Arabidopsis thaliana: one gene and its partners. Each later gene encodes a partner of the first gene's protein in a complex. Each region holds a gene or a part of one and is shown on either strand. Other genes may lie near its edges. The genes, in order: MSI1, FAS1 and VRN2.

Evidence for each region.
Region 2: MSI1 (region 1) and FAS1 share a complex: the UniProt entries of both Arabidopsis thaliana proteins name them as parts of the chromatin assembly factor 1 (CAF-1) complex.
Region 3: MSI1 (region 1) and VRN2 share a complex: the UniProt entries of both Arabidopsis thaliana proteins name them as parts of the plant homeodomain / polycomb repressive complex.

The regions. Positions count from the first base shown.
Region 1 is NC_003076.8:23,550,945-23,559,044, forward strand, and holds MSI1 (Transducin/WD40 repeat-like superfamily protein), read left to right. Parts: upstream 1-5,067; 5' UTR 5,068-5,167; coding exon 5,168-5,512; intron 5,513-5,615; coding exon 5,616-5,942; intron 5,943-6,107; coding exon 6,108-6,260; intron 6,261-6,397; coding exon 6,398-6,522; intron 6,523-6,634; coding exon 6,635-6,730; intron 6,731-6,821; coding exon 6,822-7,050; 3' UTR 7,051-7,301; downstream 7,302-8,100. Other genes in the region: AT5G58200 (Calcineurin-like metallo-phosphoesterase superfamily protein), read left to right, coding at 301-407, 497-568, 679-1,028; AT5G58210 (hydroxyproline-rich glycoprotein family protein), read left to right, coding at 1,483-1,513, 1,610-1,769, 1,892-2,447, 2,540-2,811, 2,978-3,101; TTL (transthyretin-like protein), read right to left, coding at 3,602-4,035, 4,212-4,368, 4,454-4,555, 4,636-4,917; FHIT (FRAGILE HISTIDINE TRIAD), read right to left, coding at 7,405-7,524, 7,597-7,695, 7,798-7,946. UniProt on the Arabidopsis thaliana protein: Core histone-binding subunit that may target chromatin assembly factors, chromatin remodeling factors and histone deacetylases to their histone substrates in a manner that is regulated by nucleosomal DNA.
Region 2 is NC_003070.9:24,321,105-24,329,204, reverse strand, and holds the start of FAS1 (chromatin assembly factor-1 (FASCIATA1) (FAS1)), read left to right. Parts: upstream 1-5,113; 5' UTR 5,114-5,325; coding exon 5,326-5,784; intron 5,785-5,907; coding exon 5,908-6,007; intron 6,008-6,088; coding exon 6,089-6,236; intron 6,237-6,318; coding exon 6,319-6,442; intron 6,443-6,573; coding exon 6,574-6,938; intron 6,939-7,019; coding exon 7,020-7,325; intron 7,326-7,846; coding exon 7,847-7,928; intron 7,929-8,004; coding exon 8,005-8,100. UniProt on the Arabidopsis thaliana protein: Component of the chromatin assembly factor complex (CAF-1) involved in chromatin assembly following DNA replication and DNA repair. Assembles histone octamers onto replicating DNA in vitro.
Region 3 is NC_003075.7:9,471,260-9,479,359, forward strand, and holds the start of VRN2 (VEFS-Box of polycomb protein), read left to right. Parts: upstream 1-4,809; 5' UTR 4,810-4,948; intron 4,949-5,281; 5' UTR 5,282-5,448; coding exon 5,449-5,574; exon of another isoform or gene 5,575-5,744; coding exon 5,745-5,800; intron 5,801-5,970; coding exon 5,971-6,038; intron 6,039-6,135; coding exon 6,136-6,188; coding exon of another isoform or gene 6,189-6,210; intron 6,211-6,405; coding exon 6,406-6,459; intron 6,460-6,542; coding exon 6,543-6,602; intron 6,603-6,684; coding exon 6,685-6,728; intron 6,729-6,826; coding exon 6,827-6,957; intron 6,958-7,120; coding exon 7,121-7,307; intron 7,308-7,424; coding exon 7,425-7,473; intron 7,474-7,668; coding exon 7,669-7,752; intron 7,753-7,849; coding exon 7,850-7,929; intron 7,930-8,047; coding exon 8,048-8,100. Other genes in the region: AT4G16830 (Hyaluronan / mRNA binding family), read left to right, coding at 1-8, 91-156, 260-386, 487-642, 729-779, 861-1,049; AT4G16835 (Tetratricopeptide repeat (TPR)-like superfamily protein), read left to right, coding at 1,504-3,063, 3,134-3,544; AT4G16840 (uncharacterized protein), read left to right, coding at 3,655-3,901, 4,090-4,106. UniProt on the Arabidopsis thaliana protein: Polycomb group (PcG) protein. Plays a central role in vernalization by maintaining repressed the homeotic gene FLC, a floral repressor, after a cold treatment.

The DNA of each region.
Region 1 (8,100 bases):
ATTTCATTTATGTTGTGTATGAAGAATTTATTTGGTCAAAATAGCTTTCATCTTGCAAAAATAGAGCCTATGAATGAATTTAGGTTCAGAAGAAGATGAGCTGCCTAGATCTTTGTATCGGTAATTGAAGAAAAACGAATTGACAGTTTAGTGAATCTGCATCCCTTTCTATACTTATTTTGTGTTTGTGGGGTGATCTCTGTGAACGTACAAGTCAAGTGATTACGGGTAGCAATTTTAAACATTCTGGTTTCAAGTCAGAGAAAACTACCAGTCATTGACACTTTTATATTTTTCTAGGTATGGAGTTCATGATATGGAAGCCAGTGCTGGGAGTATTTGTCGAGCTGCACATGGAACACCGGAAGATCACGTGGCTATAATTCTCGCTCACAATGGGCCAACAGGTGCATCAACCTTTAAACCTTTCTTATTGGTCTAGTCTTACGCCAATCAGGTTTAACATATAAATATTAAGTAGCGGTTTTCTTTGCAGGTCTTGGTTGGCAAGCAGAGGATATATGTGGAAAAGACTGGGGGGCTGAAGGCGGTGACCATGGTGATCCAGGTGAAATAATTTACCATCTTTTCAATTCGGCATCAGTAGCATTTCCCATGTTTTAGACTCCAAAATGCTGATTGTAGTTAGTTTGGTGAAATCTCATTGTAATGTTTCAGATCTAGAGCAGGCGATACGACAGTTGAAGGAGACGACTAAGTTGTCGATTCCTTTAGTTGTGTTTGGGCACATGCATAAGGAGCTGCAACGGGGGAAAGGAAATCGGAAAATGGTAGTGCAAGATAGTGACAACCAGACTGTGTATGTGAACGGTGCAATAGTTCCAAGGGTTAAAGAGGCAAAGAAAAGAGGAGCAGCAGAGTCTGAGAGTGGTGGCACAACAAGAGCTTTCACATTGGTGGAGATTTTAGATGGGAAAATCAAGAAAATAGCAGAAATTTGGGTACATGTAAATGGAAGTATGGCTAAGATTGTGGAGGAAAATACTTTGTTTGAAGATGTAACCTGATTTGAAATTTAAACAATTAATTCGGGACAAGACTGTAATAACTAATTATACATTTGTCTTGGCGAACAAGTCCCTTTTAGAAAGCATAGCTATTAAATTAATAGTAGGGAAAATTATTTACGAAATTATTTGGTAAAAGAATTTGGGAGAACAAACTCCGGTCGGCGCCGTGTTTTAGAACCCTACTTGTTGTTCTTCCTTCTTAATCGCTCTCCGGTCGGCGCCGTGTTTTTCGCGTCTCTCTCAAACTCCAATTCTCTATTTTCCGACCAACAGAGAGTAGCGACTGGTTATTTTCTGTAAATTTCTGATATTTATCGCTTTTTCTCTGGGGGTTTTCTAAGGTTTTACTTGGAATCCAAATCGATGTTTATTGTGATGTTTAGCTAGTTATGGAATTGTTGGGTGGAGTTGTTCGCAGTGACGTAGAAGTAGCATACTCTCGAGTGCAGTGATGATTCTGAAGCAGCTGAAACAATTTACCTGTAACAAAGCTAAACCCTTTTTACTCATGTTTCCTTTCAATGTCTGAAACTTGTTTGCTGAATGTTTTTTTTTCCAACCTTGATGTCATTTTGCAGTGTCTGCTACTCGCAGAAATGCTGTTTTCAAAACTGATGTTAAACGGCTTGCAAGGTTCTATGGCTCTCCTGCTGTTTGCGAATCTTTAACAACATCTAAAATTCCCAAAAGACTCTCAAAAGATGATCGGCGAGCTTTGGTGGAGTCCTTTGTCAACGAGTAATTCTTTCTCCATCGATTAGTTTTCCCATATTCTGTAGAGGTTCACATGTCAACTAGATAGCAATATGTGCAGCTGTATGAATCTCAAGGTCCTGAACATAGGTACTGTTTGTTTGCAGATACAGAGCAACTAATGCTGGTAGATTCCCTTCATTGGATGCTACTCACAAGCAAGTGGGAGGCTCTTATTACATTGTCAGGGACATCTTTCAAGAGCTGAAACTCAAACCAAAAGCACATATGCCAATCGTAGCTAAAGCCCTCTCAGAAGTCTCTTCTTCTGTACCAGGTGATGCTTCCTCACACTCCTCTCCAGCACCTGTGCCAACCGTTGAAGCTAAAGCCCTCTCAGAAGTCTCTCCTTCTGTACCAGCTGATGCTTCCTCACACTTGTCTCCATCACCTGTGCCAATCGTAGAAGCTAAAGCCCTCTCAGAAGTCTCTCCTTCCGTACCAGCTGATACTTCCTCGCACTTCTCTCCAGCACCTGTGCCAATCGTAGAAGCAGAAGCCCTCTCAGTAGTCTCTCCTTCTGTACCAGCTGATACTTCCTCACACTTCTCTCCAGCACCTGTGCCAATCGTAGAAGCTAAAACCCTCTCAGAAGTCTCTCCCTCTGTACCAGATGATGCTTCCTCACACTTCTCTCCTGTGGTTGTTGAACCTGAGTTTCAAGTAAAGAAAAAATCTTGCTTTGGTGTGATCAGTTTAATTTCCTTAGGCTTCAGTTATCAATTGGCTTAGTTATCCTTGTTTCTGTTTCACAGGCTGGCAGTGTGGATATTGAGATAGGAAGTGAGCAGAGGCCGGATATAATAGATACTTCTCACTCTAATTCTGATGATGAAAGTAATTTCCAGGGCAACAACCTTGTCATTACTGCAAAAGATGACAAAAGAGAAACAGAGGCAACTCAGGGAATAGAAAACTCGGAGACTGATGAAGAGAGGAACTTGACGCACTTAGGCAATCAAGAGTCAAAAGCAGACCATCTTGAAGGAGCTGATGTTTCAGCAGATGTTGTGCCTACTGAGACCAGGTATCAAATGCATACAACTAGGTCTCTTCTTTACTGGTCCGATCCTTATATTAGGATAATTTACTTCATTGATGGATCTCTTGTTTTTGAGTAATAGAAAAAGTCATTCAAGTTGATCATATTGGCACCACTTCAGTTTGAATTCTTATATCTTTTGTTTTTACAGACAAATTTCAGAGACAGGAGCCGGTGAGGTGAAAGAGACGGAAACTGGTGAGGTGAAAGAAAGGTCAAGTTCGTGGAGCAACATAATGTCATTTGCGAAAGAATTTGCGAACTTTTGGAGATGAGGGTAGATATAGCCAGGGAGCTTTAGACACGCTCAGGAAGGGTAGGTAGAGGTGTGTAAAGTATACCAGTAGAAGCTGTTTTGTTTTGACATTTTGCGCAAAGGTTTGGAATCGACCAAGATGTCTTAATCTAGACTATTATTGTCCTGCTGGCTATGAGTCTAGATTAAAACACACAACAGTTTTAGAGGCTTGTTTTGTGATCGACCATTTTGTACAAAGGTATAGAATCTCCCAAGATGTTTAACATGGTAATCTATACTATCGTTGTCCTACTCACAATGAGTCTAGATCAAAGCTCGTATTTTCGCTAATTCATTGTTTGTTCTACAGAACTACAAATCCAAATAAATACTCGAATAGACATTATTTCATAGCAATTTTTATACATGTCGAATAAAGACTTCATTTCATAGCAATTTTGATACATGTTCCCGTAGTGGTACAACCAAAACAAAATGTGTTGGAAAGTTGGTGCCGCAGACAGCAGTAGCATAGCTCTAGCTCCCACGGTATGTGGAGAAAGAAAAAGGTGCAAGCAACAGTGGGACATGGAAATGCTCCCATTTCTGTGATTCTGTAACCTGAAATACAATGGAAACATAGGGAAAGAAGCAGCCTGGGGAATACTTTGCAGTGTCGAAGCTAATCCTATATGTCCCTGGATTCAAAGCGTCAACCAAATCCATCAGTGGCCCACTGCGCCCATCTCTATCAGTAGCTGATGTGCCCACACTGGACCAGACCCCACCACCTCCATGAACAAAGGAAGGACCGGTAGTACCACTCCACACTTCTAAGTGCACTTCAACACCTGCAGCTGGAGCACCACGTGAGACGTCTAAGACATGAGTCGTGATCGGTGGCCTACTTCTCTTGGGAGCTTTTGCTTCAGCTGCAACATTCAAATGCCCTCCAATGATTCTCAGACGATCTTACAAAGCGAGAAAGTAGAAAAGGTCACACAGATAACAAAGATAGCCATAAGGGTAAATCCTTGTATTCCAAAAGACACATACTTGATATCATACTGAATCCTAACAGGTTCAAACCCACACAGTCAAACACAAAACTTTGACAAGGAAAAGATTTGGTAAATCATCAATATACCTTGAGGTTTTGTTGAAACAGGAGAGCTAGAGCTGTCAGTTTCTGATATAACTTTAGCCTTATCGGAGAACAGCTTTGCCATTCGTAGCTCTGTTATTTTCATTTGTTCCATAGCAGCAATCTCAAGCTCCACTATTGGCCTATTTTCATACCTTTCCTGAAAAAGAGACGATTTGATGAATATGTAACTTTCTCATTCACTCACACTCAACAAAAACTGATTTGGAAATGCAAAAGTTGACCTTTAACGCATGGAGCATCTCAGCGTGAGTCCTGCCAGAAGCGCAAATAATGAAGATAAAGCCAAACTTCTTTTTGTAAAGTACATTCCATTCGGCAAGCTCCTAAGAAATTGAAAACAATTGATCATCAGAAGAAGAAATCACTGAAGAGATGAAGGAAAAAAAAAGTGAAGATCCATCACCTGTAAAGCAGAAGCAGAAGTTGTGGCAAAGGCGGTTGACTGTTCTGATACGCTCCGACGAGCAAAATCGGAGTTGATAGAAGGTGAAGGAGTATTCCCAATCTGAGGATGAGCAGAGAAAGCTTCAAGCCAATCTGTCACATTAACTTGGTTGAACCAGATGTCTCTTGCAGTATATATTGCTTCTTGAGAAGTTAACGGTCCAGACGTAGACATCTGCTTCGCGAATTCGGAGCTTCCACAGCAAACCTTCCATTCATCTTCTCCGATCTCCATCGCCATTTTTTCTCTCTTTTCTCCAATCCTCACTTCTGTTGACTGGTGTAAGATCAAAAGTCATCTAATTGGGCCTTTTCATAAACGGGCTTTTCAAAAATGGGCCTTTTCTTTATCTTCTTCCTTTTTTTATTCATCATCTTCTATATGTGAATTATTCAGAAACAGAAGCGAGAAGTTTCTTACAATTTGTAAAGAGATCTGTTTTAGGGTTTTGCCTTGTTCTTGTGGCGGGAATAACAAAGACATCGCCGATATGGGGAAAGACGAAGAGGAAATGCGAGGTGAGATCGAGGAGCGACTAATCAATGAAGAGTACAAGATCTGGAAGAAGAACACTCCTTTCCTCTACGATCTCGTTATTACTCACGCTCTCGAGTGGCCTTCACTTACTGTTGAATGGCTTCCTGACCGTGAAGAACCTTCCGGTAAAGACTACTCCGTTCAGAAGATGATTCTCGGTACCCATACCTCCGAGAGCGAGCCCAATTACTTGATGCTAGCCCAAGTTCAGCTTCCTCTTGACGATACCGAGAGTGAAGCTCGTCAGTACGATGATGACCGCTCTGAATTTGGTGGCTTTGGCTGTGCAACTGGAAAGGTGCGATTTTTTATTTTTGTTTCTCATTTCCAACTTTCTAGATTTGATTCTAGGGTTATAACGAGGTAAAGGATGATAAATGTTAGTTTGATTGCTTGTGTAGGTACAAATTATCCAGCAGATAAATCATGATGGTGAGGTTAATCGAGCTCGCTATATGCCTCAAAACCCTTTCATAATTGCTACCAAGACAGTTAATGCGGAGGTCTATGTTTTCGATTACAGTAAGCATCCATCTAAGCCTCCTCTTGATGGGGCTTGTAATCCTGATTTAAAGCTTAGAGGTCACAGCTCTGAGGGATATGGTCTCTCTTGGAGTAAGTTCAAGCAGGGTCATTTGCTTAGTGGCTCTGATGATGCTCAGATCTGCTTGTGGGATATTAACGCTACTCCTAAAAACAAATCTCTGGACGCTCAGCAGATTTTTAAGGTAATGCTTTGGATTTCTATTCGTTTTTAGTTTTGTTTTGTATCATCTAGAAAGGAAGGAATTGCACCCACTTAACGGAATCAGTTACACTTATGAAAGCTCATAGATAGATATTCAGGTTGGTTTCTGTGTTTTCCTTGCTGATGATTATTTTCTGAACTTAAGGCTCATGAAGGGGTTGTGGAAGATGTTGCATGGCATCTGAGACATGAGTACCTGTTTGGATCAGTTGGAGATGACCAATACCTTCTCATATGGGATCTGCGTTCTCCATCTGCCAGTAAACCAGTACAGTCTGTGGTTGCTCATTCGATGGAGGTGAGTTTGCAATATATTAGCTTTAGATACAGATAATACTTCTGGTTTTTAAGCTTGCTTTCCTTAACACTAAAAACCATTGAATCATATTGCCTCGTATGTATTTGCTAATTGTTGAGTTGTTTGAAATGCCTTAGGTTAACTGCTTAGCCTTCAATCCATTTAATGAGTGGGTTGTGGCAACAGGATCAACTGACAAGACTGTTAAATTATTCGATCTACGGAAGCTAAGCACCGCTCTTCACACATTTGATAGCCACAAGTAAGAATGATACGCCATAAATATTGCCGCTTTGAGATGGATTTTGTGTTACTAAGAAGTATTTACAAGTTACAGCAACATCACTAACCTTAATTATGTGCTTGATCTCCAGAGAGGAGGTTTTTCAAGTTGGTTGGAACCCAAAGAACGAGACTATTTTAGCTTCATGTTGCCTTGGTAGAAGACTTATGGTTTGGGACCTTAGCAGGTTTGGGCCGTAGACTTTAGTTCTTTAGTTTAATGTTCATGTATGGTCATGGAGGAGCAATATTGATATGTTTGAGGGTGTCTTATGATAGGATCGATGAGGAACAGACAGTGGAGGACGCAGAAGACGGCCCACCTGAGCTGCTGTTTATTCACGGTGGTCACACTAGCAAAATTTCAGATTTCTCGTGGAACCCTTGTGAAGATTGGGTTATTTCCAGTGTTGCTGAGGACAACATACTCCAAATATGGCAAATGGCTGAAAACATCTATCATGATGAGGATGACGCTCCAGGGGAAGAACCATCAAAAGCTTCTTAGCTTGTTATTTAGTATCCAAAGCGCACTGATCTTATGGGACAGTATTTATTTATACATCTCTGCTATTGTTTAGTTCAAGTATTTAGTGTTCATTGTGTAAAATGAGGCATGAGAGGATGGTAGCAAGTGGGAATTTTTCTTTATAACATGAAGGAGTTGATTCTAATCTCACTAAGTAGTGTCAACCAAAGCTATAACTCTTAGTTTATACCCAGATTGGGCGACATTAGAAAGAAATTACAAATTTGAATCAAAGTCTCTGACATAAAATTTCAAACTGAAAGTCACTTGTCACAATGGTCCTTATTAAAGCTACTGGATAGCTTGGTTTGATTTGATATTGATAAATGATAACTAGCAATCGAAAAGAGATCTGTATTGGGAAGCCTCGTCAGCCATCTCCTGAATGCTCCTATCAACCCGGTCTTTATCTAGATCAAGCTTCTGCTTCAGTTCCTTCTCCTTCTCATCAAGCTACAAGAAGATACCACCATAAGATTTGTATAAAACCAAAGCTAGGAATGTGATCAAAATGCAACAACTTACAGCATCATAGATTTCATCATTCTTCTCAAAGTCACCACCTTTACGAGGCAAGATATGAATGTGTACATGGGGAACAGTCTGTCCCGCTTGAGGGCCATCCTAAGCCATTTTCATGAAACCAAAGTTAGATCGTTTCAATTCCAATCCATTAAGATTTAGACGCAAGAAACAATGACGAAAGAAAGGAGATGTTTAGTTTACTTGGATGGCTAATGTGAGAGAAGACGCATTATGGAAGGTCTCAAGCTTAGAGCCAACCTTCTGAGCAGTAAGCCACAGGTCACTGGTCTCATCAGCTGTAAGATCAGTAAATCGTGGCACAAGGCGTCTCGGGCAGACAAGAACATGTGCTCGTCTGGTTAAAGTCATCCAATAGAACTCAATTTACAAAACAAAACCGAAAAATGAAGAACACACAAAAAAAAGAAGGATATGACCTGCAAAAAATAGATGAAAAAGAAGGTCAGAAGAAAGTTGAAGAGGTTCGATGAATAATTAGAGAGG
Region 2 (8,100 bases), on another chromosome or scaffold:
CTATGAAGCCGTGATGTTCCTAAACACTACATGTTTAAAATTATTTTCTTCAAATATGTTTTGTCTTTATCAACTCCACAAATAGCATCTTTGAAAAACATTAGTGTATTAAGTTCTAACCACCATATGTCGCATAATGTTCGCAACCTTTTGGTAATGTAGATAAAGGAAACGATTAATTGAAGATTTTTGCCGTTTAACTAAATTTCTTCCACTAGATTTTCGCATGCAATTTCCTTACGAAGCAACATATAGTGCATCACAGAACATATTCTAAGTTTCCTATTAAAAACGTTGTGAACAAATTAATTGTACTCTATATTTATTTAAGTTAATGAGACACTTTGCATATGTTTAAGCTCATAAAGCTTTGAGAAGGTTTCCCCGGTGAAAATTTTGGAAAAGTAGTTTTAGTCAAATAAAAAAAGAATATTAACTTATGTTTTGACGACCCAAAAAAAATGAAAGGAATAACTTATGAAATAGCATTTTCATTAGAAAACGAATGTACGTCACTTTAGGACTTTATTTCTAGAACGAAAACATTTTGGTTGGTTGAAATATTCAATGAAAATCAAATAATTCAAAAACATTGTGATGATTCAATCTTAGAAGAGAAGATAATTACAAAGACACATACTTGATAATAAACCATCAAAAACTGAACATAGAGATTAGTTTAGAGATTTTGATAGTATCATTGGTGTAATGACCATGATAAGAAATTTCAATAGTCTTTTGCGGTGGAGCTAGTAGAGGCTTCTGCGTCACCATGAAGAAATATCTTATCTCCAAGTGACAAAAAGGTGTTAAAGCCGATAGTCAAATGTTTGTGCTTCTTAAACAACTTCTTCAATCGTGCATACAATATAGAACGATCAATCCGTTGTGCCTTAAAATCTAGAAGATAATTAAACATAGATATTTACCTTTTGGATTACGAAGATTGGCAAGTGGATGAGGAACAAGAGATCCGGCAAACCTACGTTTACAAGTTTTTGCTAAATCTCATTATGTGAAAAACTTGATGTGATTTTGGGCTAGCATAAGGGATCTTGATAGATTTTCTTCTCTTTTTTTCTTCTTCTTCATTTAACCTATCATCTGAATAGAAGTTAGAAGAATCGGTGATTCAAAAGCAGATTTCTTTACCTCTGTGAATTGTAATTCATCGGACTCGAAAAAATCGATCGTCAGTATTCGATGACATTTCTAAATCATATCCTCATGAGTGCCCTTTGTCATCAAATTAATTGCGACACATGTTCTCTAAGCTAGAAGATAATCCTTCAATTATCTTCCCATGTTGGTTTATTATCTGCAAGTCTTAGATTAACTTGTTTTATGTTTGATATTATTCTTTACTCAATAAAGTGAGATGACAAAAAAAATTGCGACTTCTCAAATAATATGTAAGAGATTTTAGATAGTTTAGCTTATAATTAGTCTAATGAAAGTTTATAAAGTTTTGAGAAGAGGATTTCTTTTAATAAGATCCCACATTGAAAGTTTTAAAAAGAAACACTAGTATATAAGAGATATGTGTCAATCCAATTTTTGTCAATTGATATTTAGTTGGACGCATATGAATATATGATACTTAACATCATATCCAAGTCCGAAAACAAGTTATTTGAATGCAGTCCGATTGTCCGGAACTGAATGTCCAACAAAAGCTTGATTTCATTTTGTCGAGATTTAGAAGTACATTATGATGAGTTTTAAAAAAAAAATCTAAAAAACCACGATCTCTTAAGGCATGTGGAGCCCCATATAGATAGATGGAAAAATACTTAATTATGGTCAATCCATTCTTTACTATTTGATTTTGAGTTAAAACTCCAAATAAATTAATATGCTTAACCCCTATACCTTAACCCCAAATCTCGTTGCCTAAAACTAAATCTAAACTTGTTGTGAGTTCTCCAAAAGATCTTGTGCTACAAATTTGAATTAAATTTCATCTCTCCATCATATTTTATTTACTTATGAAGTTAAATGTGTAAACTACGTCAATTATTTTCTGCAACTTAGATTCGCAAAAAATGTGGGGTATTAGTAACATCGATAAAATTAATTATGTGAAGCTAACAACTTACAATTATCTAACTAACTTTATAAGACTTAACACACATAAGTGCTTGTTACGAACACTAAAATGTAGAAGAACCTAAAAGATAGTGAACCCCCACAATCCTTTCTATTAAAAGTGACCCTCAAAATCATCATAGCAACTGAATAAATTCGGTTCATGAGAAATCATAGAATATTACAAGTTTTTTTTTTTTTTTTTTGCGTCTCACGTTTTTGTCGTACTCTATTTCTTAAAAGAATTCTTATTTGTTCAGTCGTCTTGTTCCCATGTGTGTGTGTGTTTATATCTCTTGTGAAGTTGGTGGCTAAAAAATATCAACAGTTCCTGAACTTGGGCCTCAAATTTTTCTTTTCTTCTCTACTTCCTACGTGGATCTAGTCAAAAATTGAGCATCCTTGTTCTAAAAGGATTACTTTAAAATAACATTATATTTTAAAAAACTAGGGAAAAAATTGCCCTGAGAAAACCGTAAGAAAGTTACGTTTTTCGTATATATAAATTTAAATAAATAATATAATATCATGCAATTTACCATGTCATCGGAAAGATATATAATTATATTTATTTAATAAATACAAAATTAATGTTATTTTTATAAAAGCTCAAAAACATTAACGAAACCGTCAGTTTACGATGTTTCCACTTATTATTGTTACAAATAAAATGATAGTCTTTGGGTTATTTAGTTCATATTTTCTTGACATGGAGCGAAAGAAATAAGAATAAGACCAAAAGGAAAATCATGTGGAGGAGAAATTAATAAATAAATTTTAAAAAACGTTTGGAAATAGGAAGTATGTAAAAACGAATATAAAAATAGGAAGTAGTGTAAAACAATCGAATATAAAAATAGAAGAAACGCAACCAAGTAGAGACGTCTCGATACTTTGCACTCATCCAATCCTTTATGGAATCTTCTTCTAATGTTGGCCAAGATGTCTCACTTCACTATCATCAACGTATCTATCTTCATACTCTCTCAATAATGTGAAAGATCTCATTATCTTTAACAACAAGAAAGATCTCATTATTCTTGATAAACTTCAATTCATCATCTCTTCTTTGGACTTTTGATCTTTAAGAAATTAAACATAATTTCAGTCGAACTGATTCCGATTGAATTTGTTGTTGGTTGTCAACATTTTATTTAACGATGATAATATAAATGGAATAAATAAATTATTGACTGCTCCTAAATATAAACTTTTGTGATTCATACGAATGTAATTCGAAGAGAGGTTAAAAACAATGAGATTTTCAATGAGAAAAATAGCATATTTTTTTTTTGGTTCAATAAGTAATAGATTTTTGTTCAGCAAATGTTCGTTAGAAATTATGGAATTTTTATTTATAATATTTTTGAACCCCAAATCAGATAAAATTTTTAAAAAATATTTTTTCACCATAAGTTTTTAATGTTAGAATTATCTTATATTGGAAGTGGAAATGAATGTTAGGAACAAAAGTCTTTAACATAAAAATTTGTGCCTTTAAAATAGCTCTTAACTTTCATCTCCACGTTGATTAATTTAGACCATCCTGTGTTGACGTTGAGTTTGTGATCTTTTTCAATGAAAACAAATATCTAGTGTAATTTTTTTTTTTTTGACGTAATTACTTAGAATATTTAAAAGGGTCTAATTGCACAAGTTTTATGCCGCCATTATGAATAATAGCATAGGTTGGATATTTTAGATAATTTGTTGCAATATAGTGATGTATTGCAATAAATATAAACGTTTAATCGTTTAAACGCACCATTTAGTGTCATAATTTACGTAAATATCGTTTTTAAGGTTCCAACTGCACAAGTTTTTTATGCCGTCACCATAAATGGTATAAGCATGATATTTTCTAGTATAATTTGTTGCAATGCATCACTATTTCCTAAGTTTTTCAAAAACATTATATACAGAATAAATTCAAATAGCATTTTACATTATACTAATTTGTTATTAAGCCTTTAAAACGCATTATTTAGTATGAAGCTATCAATGTATAATGTATCATATCATGCAAATGGCATATCCAAAGGGAGATGAAGAACGTCAGAAGCATGACGAGAGATGCTTGAGCCGTGAGGGTAGCCTCGTGGGAATGAATACAAAAAGCTCACACATAAAAGTAGCATTTTTAATGGCCACCAAATCTTATCACCCTTTTTGGGATATTTTTAAAAAATTTTGAAAATAAAAGAAATATTCTTTATCTGATTCCTATTACTGAAAAGTGAACACTGAATAAAACGTCAGTTCATTGGTTTCTCCTATTTTTACAATTACAGAAAATCATCTCTCTATTTTGTTTTGTTATTTCGTTTAGTACAATGCCGCAAATAAAAACACTAGCCATTTAATAACTCACTTTGTTTGCTTATTGAATTGTCCAACCAATTACTCATTCTTAATTAGTATGACTGTTAGTATCTTTTAGAAGAAAATTAAAGCGAAGAATTATAATTCAAACATTTTTCTAACGACAAATTAACACGCACTACTACCACATCATTCATCATCAATTGATTCCCTCATATGGTCAGTCAACAACATATGCTCAGTGAACAAAAACCTCACCATCTTCTCTCCCTCCCTTTTCTTGCTACAAATCTTCATTTCCTTTCACTTTCTTACCTCGTTCATAAATCGTATCCAAAGTATTATTCGGTTTCATTCGGAGCTCTTGCTCACCATGACCGTATTAGGCTTAAAATTAAAATTAAAATGAGTAATTTCTAGTCTCTATTTATATAACCGCATCCGCATGAGTATTTAAAATTAGTAAATTCTAGTCTCTATTTATATGTCATCCCAATTGTTTCCCCCACTATATTGGGCTTAAAAGAAACAAAAGCAGGCCCACATAGGCCTTCATCTTCTCCAAAACTTGAGTGGCGCCAAACAGTAAAATTGCATTTTTGTCATTTGGAGGCAAATCCACCCGTCAAAACCTTGGCGGGAAAATCAACGACCCTTCTTTTTAGTGAATCCCCAATTTTATTTTTTTATCCTTTTTTTTTTTCAAACCTATCCATCTTCCCACTCCCTTCTTCTTCTTCTTCTCCAAAAACCTAAGAACTCTGAGAAAAAAAAAATCCAAAATCAAAATCACGAAAGGAACAACAAATCTCCACTCAGCTCGTGTTTCTCGCAATCGATTTCTTAGATTCTAGATCTTGTTTCAATTTTCCTGGGTTTATAGATTCCCGAATTTTTCTAGTTTTTTTTTTTGCGATGGACGAAGTTTCGACGGTGAATGAAAATGAGAATCGGAAGACGATGATAGAGCCAAAGAAGCTGAATAAGCGGAAGAGAGAACCCACGGCGATTGAGAATCTAACATCTGAGGAGAAAGAATCTCAGATCTCGTCGTTGAATCTAGAGATGAAAGGGCTTTTTGATTATTTCAGAGAAGTTATGGATAAGAGTAAGAGAACAGATCTGTTTTCTGGATTTAGTGAATGTTCCTCATTGAATTCGATGGTGGCTTTGTTAATGGAGGAAATGAGTTTGCCGTTGTCGAAGCTTGTAGATGAGATTTACTTGAAATTGAAGGAGAAGACTGAAAGTGTTACTATGGTAGCTGTGAAGAGTGCTGTTGTTTCTGTTGGTCAGAGAGTTAGTTACGGTGTGCTTAACGTAGATGCTGATGTTTTGGAGGATGATTCTGAATCTTGTCTTTGGTGCTGGGAGGTAATCTTAGTTTGCTAATCTTACAAGTTTTGATCTTTGAATCTAATGGTAAGTTTGGTGTGGTTTATACTCTTTGGTGATGTCATTTAATGTTTGAGATGTAATGTTTATTTGATGTTGTAGACGAGAGATCTGAAAATCATGCCGAGTTCCGTTCGTGGAGTGTTAAAACTTCGCCGGACTTGTCGAAAGAAGATTCATGAAAGGATTACAGCAGTTTCTGGTAAATGTTGTTTTTAGTGGTGATTCGTATTGATTGTTTGTTTATAAGATGTGAGTGTTTATGCCCTATGTTGTGTTTCAGCAATGTTAGCTGCATTACAAAGAGAAGAAACTGAAAAGTTGTGGAGATCTGATTTGAGTAAAGCTGCTGAGAAGCTTGGTAAAATACTGAGTGAGGTGGATATTCGATCATTCATGGATAACATGATGCAGAAGAACAGCTCAGAAATGTAAGTATCTTCTGTTAGTACTTGGTTTACATTTTATCTCTTGTTTTTCATTCTTACTCAGTTATTGTGTTTGATCGTTAAGGGCTGAGAAAGACTCAAAGAGAGAAGAGAAGCTGCTTCTTAAACAATTGGAGAAAAATAGATGTGAAGCTGAGAAGGAGAAGAAGAGAATGGAACGTCAAGTATTGAAAGAAAAATTGCAACAAGTAAGCTGATCTTTTTCTTCATTGTCTTCTAGAAGTCTTTTCTGGCGCTGTTTATTCTCTTTTAGTCATCTAGGATGTGTTGTTTGATTTCAAAGTCTGACTTCTGACTGAGCATTTGTTCACTGTGACAGGAAAAAGAGCAGAAGCTACTGCAGAAAGCAATTGTTGATGAAAATAATAAAGAAAAAGAAGAGACAGAGTCAAGAAAACGGATAAAGAAACAGCAAGATGAGTCGGAGAAGGAGCAGAAGCGTAGAGAGAAGGAACAAGCCGAGCTAAAGAAGCAACTTCAAGTACAGAAACAAGCTTCAATCATGGAACGGTTTCTTAAAAAGAGCAAAGATAGTTCATTGACCCAACCCAAACTTCCTTCCAGTGAAGTAACTGCTCAGGAGCTGTCATGTACAAAACATGAGAATGAAATTGGAAAAGTTGTTCAGGCAATTGACAACGCCTTTTCAACAACTTGTGAAGCTACAGTTGATGATATTCGCAGGTATGACATTGGTTCTCCTTGTTGATTGATTCTGTGAGGTGTCACTTTGGGTATTGTGATCTGAGTTGTATTTCTTTGTAGGGAACACTTTGCTTCCTGGCGTCAGTTGGGTCATTTGCTCTCGAGTTCGAAAAAACATTGGGGGATGCGTAGGCAGCCTAAGAGTGAACTGTTTCCAAAACTAAAACTATCTACAAATAGTGGAGTAACATCTGACGGTGAACCTAACATGGAGAAGCAAGGGGATGGATGTGAAGAGAATAACTTTGATGGTAGGCAGTGTAAGCCTTCCTCATCTAATCGTAAGAAGTCCAGGAGGGTCAAGCAGTTGTTACAATTTGATAAAAGCTGCAGACCAGGCTTTTATGGTATCTGGCCCAGCCAAAGGTTAGTAATTATTTTGAAAATTTTCATTTCAGCAGTAAGCTTATATAATATAGATTATTAGTTAGCCAAAAAGCCTTGACTAACTGCAAGCTTTCCCCTGGGTTTGTTTGGTACTGTTTTTTGATATTAGCTTTGTTGCGAAACATTTTTCAATTTTCACTGCATAAGTCATAAAGTTTTCCGATGCTGCCTATGTGACTACTTTTTTCATGGTGTTTAATAAAGCAGATGATAAATGACCTATGAAGTAAACATACTTTTACGCTACTTTACCCTGTTCTGATTCCTTAATTAACTAACCATCGTCTATGTTGGATCTGTGGTTATTATCGTCCAATGCATTTCAATTTGGATTGAACAATCATTGTAGTGAACTTGTAATGTACAGAACGTTCTCTGTGATTCTGATACGACAATACCATTTGTTATTCTGATATGCATCTAGCTGTTCAATTAAGTAGTGTTCACTCTCTAAGTTTGCTTACAATGGTACTGAGGGATCTGTTGTTTAACATTTGCAGTCAAGTTGTAAAGCCACGTCGTCCTCTGCAAAAGGATCCAGAATTGGATTATGAAGTTGATAGTGATGAAGAATGGGAAGAGGTAGGTTTATTGAATTCAGTACATGCTTTTTAAACTTGACAAAAGATCACTGGGTAATAAAGATACTTCTTTACAGGAAGAAGCTGGTGAAAGCCTTTCAGATTGTGAGAAAGATGAAGACGAAAGTTTGGAAGAAGGATGTTCAAAGGCTGATGATGAAGATGATAGTGAA
Region 3 (8,100 bases), on another chromosome or scaffold:
GGCAGAGGGTCAGTCTTATTCTGTTGTTGCATAATCTGCCATTGAAATGACTGTGTCAATCTCATAAGTTGGAGTTTATCTTTTGGATAGGAGTGACTTCAAGCGTGACGGATCTGGTCGTGGGAATTGGGGAACTCCAGGGGAAGAGATAGCTGCGTATGTAATTGTTTATGGTTTATTGCATTTGTTTAAAAAAGTATGTATTAATGTGATTGTGATTGGGAATTTGGACTAAAAGAAGTTTTCTCTGGATTTTAAGTGAGACTGAAGCAGTAGCTGGTGTTGAGACTGAGAAGGATGTTGGAGAGAAGCCAGCTGTTGATGATGTAGCTGCTGATGCTAACAAGGAGGATACTGTTGTTGAGGAGAAAGAGCCTGAGGATAAGGTAAACAGAGAATAGAATAGAAATGCTAGGCTCCTCTTTACTATACTGGTATCAGTTTTTTTTATTTTCACTTATTGTTTATTGACTTGTGTTTCTACAGGAAATGACTCTTGATGAGTATGAGAAAATACTCGAGGAGAAGAAAAAGGCACTTCAATCATTAACTACCTCTGAGAGGAAAGTTGATACGAAAGTGTTTGAATCAATGCAACAACTGTCAAACAAGAAGTCTAATGATGAAATCTTCATCAAGCTGGTAAGACATATCATGTATCATTTCTTCATTGTCGTCTATTAACTTGCGTCAATGATTCTAAACCTTTCCTTTGACCTATTTCCCAGGGTTCTGATAAGGACAAACGCAAAGATGACAAAGAAGAGAAGGCTAAGAAGGTTTAAATCATTGTCTGAATTGAAACATATTGTAGAAATCAATAAGTTTGCTTATTGATGTGTGTTCCTGATTGTAAACAGGCTGTGAGCATCAATGAGTTTCTGAAGCCAGCAGAGGGTGGGAACTACTACCGAGGAGGTCGTGGTGGCCGTGGACGTGGTGGTCGTGGCCGTGGAGGTGTTTCTAGTGGCGAATCTGGTGGTTACCGTAATGAAGCTGCACCGGCAATTGGAGATGCTGCTCAGTTCCCATCTCTTGGGGGCAAGTAAGATCCATCCATGATAACGTCCACACTCGTGCATCCTCCTTTAGGATTTTGTGCGAGGATTTACTGTTTACTGGTCTCTCGTTGTCAGATGTAAATAATTAGGTGTCGTCGTCAGTTTTTAGATTTTATGCAAAACTTTACACTTGTTGGTGTTCTTTACTTTTGAAACAGTACACTCTTCTTAATTTTACCATTTTACTCGTTTTGTGTTTGTTGTTTTCTTATTTATGAAACATGTTTTGAGACGGACATATCTAATGTTATCGGGTTTGAGTCTTTACTCTGTCTCCTCTTTTCTCATTCGTGATCGTGTTCATAGATGTTTTAGAATCAGTAATAATTTGACATGAGTTATGACTTATGAATGATTGTCGAATAACGTGGTTGCTATTACATATACCAATGATTCTGTAGGATTTAAACATTTTTTTGTGTTCTGTCGTAAACCATGTAAAATGCTTTCTCGCTTCAACATTCATCAGCCATTTAAACGCTGTAAATTTCGATTCTTTTTGCGTTCCATTGGAAACCCAGATACCATTTTGGTGGAATCATGTTCGTCTTCCTCTTGTTCATCGCCAGAGCCATCTCTGGTTCGTTCCGATTACTTGACTAAACCTTCTGATCAAGACCAGATTTTTCCGTTGAACAAGATAATAGCTAGGTGTGTACGTTCAGGAGATATAGATGGAGCTCTTAGAGTGTTTCACGGAATGAGAGCTAAGAACACCATTACCTGGAATTCTCTGCTCATTGGGATTTCTAAAGATCCAAGCAGAATGATGGAAGCACACCAACTGTTCGACGAAATCCCTGAACCAGATACTTTCTCTTATAACATTATGTTGTCTTGCTACGTTCGTAATGTTAACTTCGAGAAGGCACAGAGCTTCTTCGATCGGATGCCATTCAAGGATGCGGCGTCATGGAACACGATGATCACAGGGTATGCACGAAGAGGTGAAATGGAGAAAGCGCGGGAATTGTTCTACTCCATGATGGAGAAGAATGAAGTTTCTTGGAATGCCATGATCTCTGGATACATTGAATGCGGAGATTTGGAAAAGGCATCACATTTCTTCAAAGTGGCTCCAGTTAGAGGCGTCGTGGCTTGGACGGCGATGATCACAGGGTACATGAAAGCCAAGAAGGTTGAATTAGCTGAGGCAATGTTCAAAGACATGACAGTGAATAAAAATCTTGTAACTTGGAATGCTATGATCTCTGGTTATGTTGAAAATTCTAGGCCAGAAGATGGATTGAAGCTTTTCAGAGCTATGCTTGAGGAAGGAATTAGGCCTAACTCGTCTGGACTAAGCAGCGCATTGCTCGGATGCAGTGAATTATCGGCGTTACAATTAGGGAGGCAAATACATCAGATAGTGAGTAAATCTACATTGTGTAATGATGTAACAGCATTGACGTCTCTGATCAGTATGTACTGCAAATGTGGAGAACTTGGTGATGCTTGGAAGCTCTTTGAGGTGATGAAGAAGAAAGATGTTGTGGCGTGGAACGCAATGATTTCCGGGTATGCTCAGCACGGTAATGCGGATAAGGCTCTGTGTTTGTTCCGTGAGATGATAGATAACAAGATCAGACCGGATTGGATAACGTTTGTTGCGGTTTTACTGGCCTGTAACCATGCTGGACTAGTGAATATTGGGATGGCATATTTCGAATCGATGGTGAGAGATTATAAGGTAGAACCGCAGCCTGATCATTACACGTGTATGGTTGATCTTTTGGGTCGGGCTGGGAAGCTGGAGGAGGCATTGAAACTGATAAGATCAATGCCGTTTAGACCTCATGCTGCGGTCTTTGGGACGCTCTTAGGGGCTTGTAGAGTGCACAAGAATGTGGAATTGGCTGAATTTGCAGCTGAGAAACTGCTTCAGCTAAACTCGCAAAATGCAGCCGGGTATGTGCAGCTTGCGAATATCTACGCATCGAAGAATCGTTGGGAAGACGTTGCAAGGGTTCGCAAGAGAATGAAAGAGAGCAATGTTGTGAAGGTAGAGCGAGTCAAAGTTCGATTCTTTATTCGAGTTACAAGACTCTAATGTATTTACTTGACTGTTTCAGGTACCTGGATACAGTTGGATCGAAATACGAAACAAAGTTCACCATTTCAGATCAAGTGATCGGATTCACCCTGAACTAGACTCAATACACAAGAAACTGAAGGAGTTGGAGAAGAAGATGAAACTAGCTGGATACAAACCGGAACTAGAGTTTGCTTTACACAATGTAGAGGAAGAGCAAAAAGAGAAGCTATTGTTATGGCACAGCGAGAAGTTAGCTGTTGCATTTGGTTGCATAAAACTCCCTCAAGGTTCACAGATACAAGTGTTCAAGAACTTGAGAATCTGTGGTGATTGTCATAAAGCAATCAAATTTATCTCGGAGATAGAGAAACGAGAGATCATTGTAAGAGACACCACAAGGTTTCACCATTTCAAAGATGGGTCTTGCTCTTGTGGCGATTACTGGTGAAAAGAGAAGAGCTTTGACTCTCTCATTGGTCAAACCTGACTGTATTTATATGCGTTATTGTGTGGTAAAGTTTCGACCTTTGACTTGACAAGTTGCCGTTAAGAAGAGAGATGCGTAGATCAGCGAGTGGTTCTAGAGTTTTGGATCATTTTCCGGCGACTTCAAGGTCTCCGCCTCGATCTCAGAGTGTTACAGCAATGGAAGATGATGTGGAGCTGCTTTTGCCTAGGTACGATCCGAATTCTCAAGCGGGGAAGAGAGAGAAATCAAGATTCAGATTTTCAGAAAACGTCATCCATTTGATTCCTCTCATTCTTCTTCTCTGTGTCGCAATCCTCTGGCTCTCCTCTTACTCAGGTAAGCCGAGAAATTGTTTCAATCTCTATGAATCCATAATTGATCTGTGAAACTTAATTAGGGATTTTACAAAGACTCATATGGATATGAGGATCGAGATGTCTCTGCAACGTTAGAATCTTGTGTTGAATTATGGTTTCAATTTGTTCATATAATACTAAATCGGTGATGGATTTGGAATTTGTCAGCAGCGTTAAGGAGTTGAGTTCCAAAAGCAACATGTTGTCTTGTCTCCATGGGAACTCATATTCAGTTTTGGGAAAGGAAACAATTCTTTTACCGCCGGTGATTTTGTGCCGCAAACCATTCGTATTTGTAATTTTTGGTTCTGTAGACACACAAAAGGATCTCTCGTTTTCATGAAATGTATGTTTAATATTTCAGTGATATACATCACACAACTCAAGTAGAAAACACTGATGGTTATCCATTAATCATTCTATTGGTCGAAAAAAAGATTAGTTTCAACTTAATGCCACCTTAGGATTATATGTTCCTGTGAGTTTCAGCTAGCCAACTCAACTAGAGTTAAACAATGGAATCAAAATACATATTCAGTAATTTATTTTAAACTCTGACTATTTATGTAAAACACAAATGGAAATCAAAATTGAAGGTCATGAAGATTCTATTCTTAGTGTGAAAAGTATAGATCAATGATTCTTAATTTCTTCATCCTCCACGCATAGATCAATGGTGAATATGGTTTTAAATCCTCTAATACTCACTGTACTGCCATGGTAGAGTTAAAAAAACAATTTTAGAAATATTAGTGGATTAAGGCATTAAGCTGTCCAAGTTGCTTGTATTTTCTTTTCATTTTATTAATTAAAAAAAAAGTTCAACTATTTATTGACTAATAATAATACGTGTTAAATGGTTATCGGTTTAAAATATGGGCCATAGGCCCAGACTTGAAGAAAAACTTGAAACCCAAAGTTTTATTTTTACTTGTTTTCTTTCTCAGTGAATATCTCCCAATCAAGCTTCTTCAATTTTGCTTGCTCTCTCTCTTACACGGCCAATCGGTGTTTTCGCAGCTTTCAGGTTTGTCTCAATCTCAAATTAAATCGGAGTCAAGTAATAACAATTGATAACCCTAATTGTTTCAATTATATTGTAAGATTTGAAATTTTGCAGTAGATCCGGAATCGTATTCTAGTTCTGGAATCGTTGATCTCGATGGAATTTTTTTTAAGATTTCTTCATACACATTTGGTTCAAAAGATCACATAATTTTATTTTAATTTGATAAGTATGATGATTCTGCTAAGTGGCATTGGATAAAGTTTTCATTTTTGCAATACGTCTAAACTTGTCTATGTCTTGAATGAACTCTCTGAGTTGCTTAAAAAGTCTTGTGCTTTCTTTATTACACAGGCCTCAATACAAGACATTCTATATAAGCATATTGCAGAAGAGGCGGTTCTAATTGTTGCATGGAGTTGAACAATATGACGTAGGGAAATTCTAATTTAGGGGAGGCCTCAGAGTTTGCACTAACTTCATAATCAGCTCTGGACGTTGTTGATTGTATTTGAACAAGAATGTGTAGGCAGAATTGTCGCGCGAAATCCTCACCGGAGGAAGTGATTTCAACTGATGAGAATCTCTTGATATATTGTAAACCTGTTCGACTATATAACATCTTTCACCTTCGCTCTCTAGGCAACGTATGATTTGGCCTTCCTCTCTCATCATTTTAGCTTAGTAATCTTTCATCTCCTGTGTAGATCACCCACTAATAGTTTGAGTTTGCTAAGCTGATTATGGTCTGACTCATGGCGAGTGTGTGCTTCTTTTGTCTCCTAATGTTATTTGAACTTGTTGTTTGTTGTTGCAGCCATCGTTTCTGCCAAGATGCTTGAACTACAAAATTGGGGCAAAGCGCAAAAGAAAGTATGCGTTTCTTCTTGAATGTAGTTGCCACAGTGATATGTTATTTATCTTACTTCTAATATGGAAGCTGATGAACTATTTATCTTTGTTGAGTAGATATGGACATAATGAATGGTTTCTTCTTTGTTCATGCTATACACTTATATTTTACAAAATTGTGTTTTGCTTAGGTCAAGATCTACTGGGATGGTAGTTTTCAACTATAAGGATTGTAATAATACATTACAAAGAACTGAAGGTTAGTCTTTTTCTGTTCTTCGACAAAATTCGATGTCAATGTCTATGTTTCTCTAGATGATTTGTTATTTACTATTTTTTTCTGTATTGTCACGCAGTTAGGGAGGATTGTTCTTGTCCATTTTGCTCTATGCTATGTGGTAGCTTCAAGGTGGGCAACTATTACAACTGAGGTTTCTTCCGGGGCCTTTCATATCTAACACTGTGAAATGCTACTGCCGTTTAATGCTATATACTTTCACTGTTTGGTTACATATTTTTGTGTTTGTTGTTTGTCTTCTTGCTCTTTTTAAACTGCTGAGTGTGTGCTTATCTGAGAAAACATGTTCCAGTTCGAGCTTACAATCCATTGTCTTGTGTCTATGCAGGGGCTGCAATTTCATTTGAATTCATCTCATGATTTATTTGAATTTGAGTTCAAGGTATGTGGTTTTATGGAATTTCTTGTTTTGCCTATGCCGTTAGTAATGAGGTTATAGTTAAAAAAGGGTCTTTCCTATTGTAGCTTTTGGAAGAATACCAGACAGTTAATGTTTCTGTAAAACTTAATTCCTTCATATTTGAGGTCAGTTACTTTAAACTTGGTTAATTGGGAAATCCTATAGCTGGTGAAAATTTGGTTTATATTCCATCCTTATTTGTACTAGGAAGAAGGAAGTGATGATGATAAATTTGAGCCCTTCTCTCTCTGGTAACTCTCAGAACCCCTTGATTAAATACCTTAATAGCAGTAACTCCTTGCTTTTCTTGTCAGTACTTCTCTATAAATCCAACCACAATGTTTTGCAGCTCGAAACCTCGTAAGCGTAGACAAAGAGGTGGCAGAAATAACACCAGGAGACTTAAAGTATGCTTTTTACCGTTGGATTCACCCAGTTTAGCTAATGGCACAGAAAATGGAATTGCCCTGCTGAATGATGGTAAAATCACATCTTCTTCTGTGGTATTCGTTGTGGCTTAGAACTTCATTTTACAGAAGAAGATACAATGTCCTGATTGTTTAGTTTTTGTACTTCTCCTCGCATTCTTCTTGTGAGGGTAATGTTACCAGAACTGATGTACAAAATTAATGGCATGCTACAGGAAACCGTGGTTTAGGATATCCCGAGGCAACAGAGCTTGCTGGACAATTTGAGATGACTAGCAACATTCCACCAGCCATAGCCCACTCTTCTCTGGACGCTGGTGCTAAAGTTATATTAACAACCGAAGCTGTGGTCCCTGCTACTAAGACAAGAAAGTTATCTGCTGAGCGATCAGAGGCTAGAAGGTTTGTTCATCATGACACCCCGTCATCATAATTACCATACCTGTTGTTACAAATGTTCTTCCTATTATGGATAAGTGTTTACTGTACTGCCATATTAACCGAGAAAATTTCTTCCAGCCACCTACTTCTTCAGAAACGCCAATTCTATCATTCTCACAGAGTCCAGGTGATCCAAGTTCCTTCACCTACTTCTTAGGCATTTTCTTTAAATTGCTCATGATGATATCTTATCAAAGCATACTTGGTTTGTTCTCATCTAAATTTGTATTTTGATTCTGTATGTATCAACGCAAAAAAATTATGTCCATGTTGTCTCCGTTTTATTGCCACTAACCAAAAACTGCATGTTTCTTGTGACAAGCCAATGGCGCTTGAGCAAGTAATGTCTGATCGGGATAGCGAGGATGAAGTCGATGACGATGTTGCAGATTTTGAAGATCGCCAGGTATTCCATGATTTCTTTCTGCGTTCATTAAGTAGGCAACAGAAAATGGTATACGATGTAACTTGCTAATGGCTTTTGAAACTTAAAAAAGCTGCAGATGCTTGATGACTTTGTGGATGTGAATAAAGATGAAAAGCAATTCATGCATCTTTGGAACTCGTTTGTAAGAAAACAAAGGTAACTACTTCTCTTACACTTGAACACACACAAAAAGACCTTATGTCTTACATTCCATACCTGTCTAAATGATTCTGCTTATGGAACTTTGAGCTCAAATTATGATTGATGTTTGCAGGGTTATAGCAGATGGTCATATCTCTTGGGCATGTGAAGTATTTTCAAGATTTT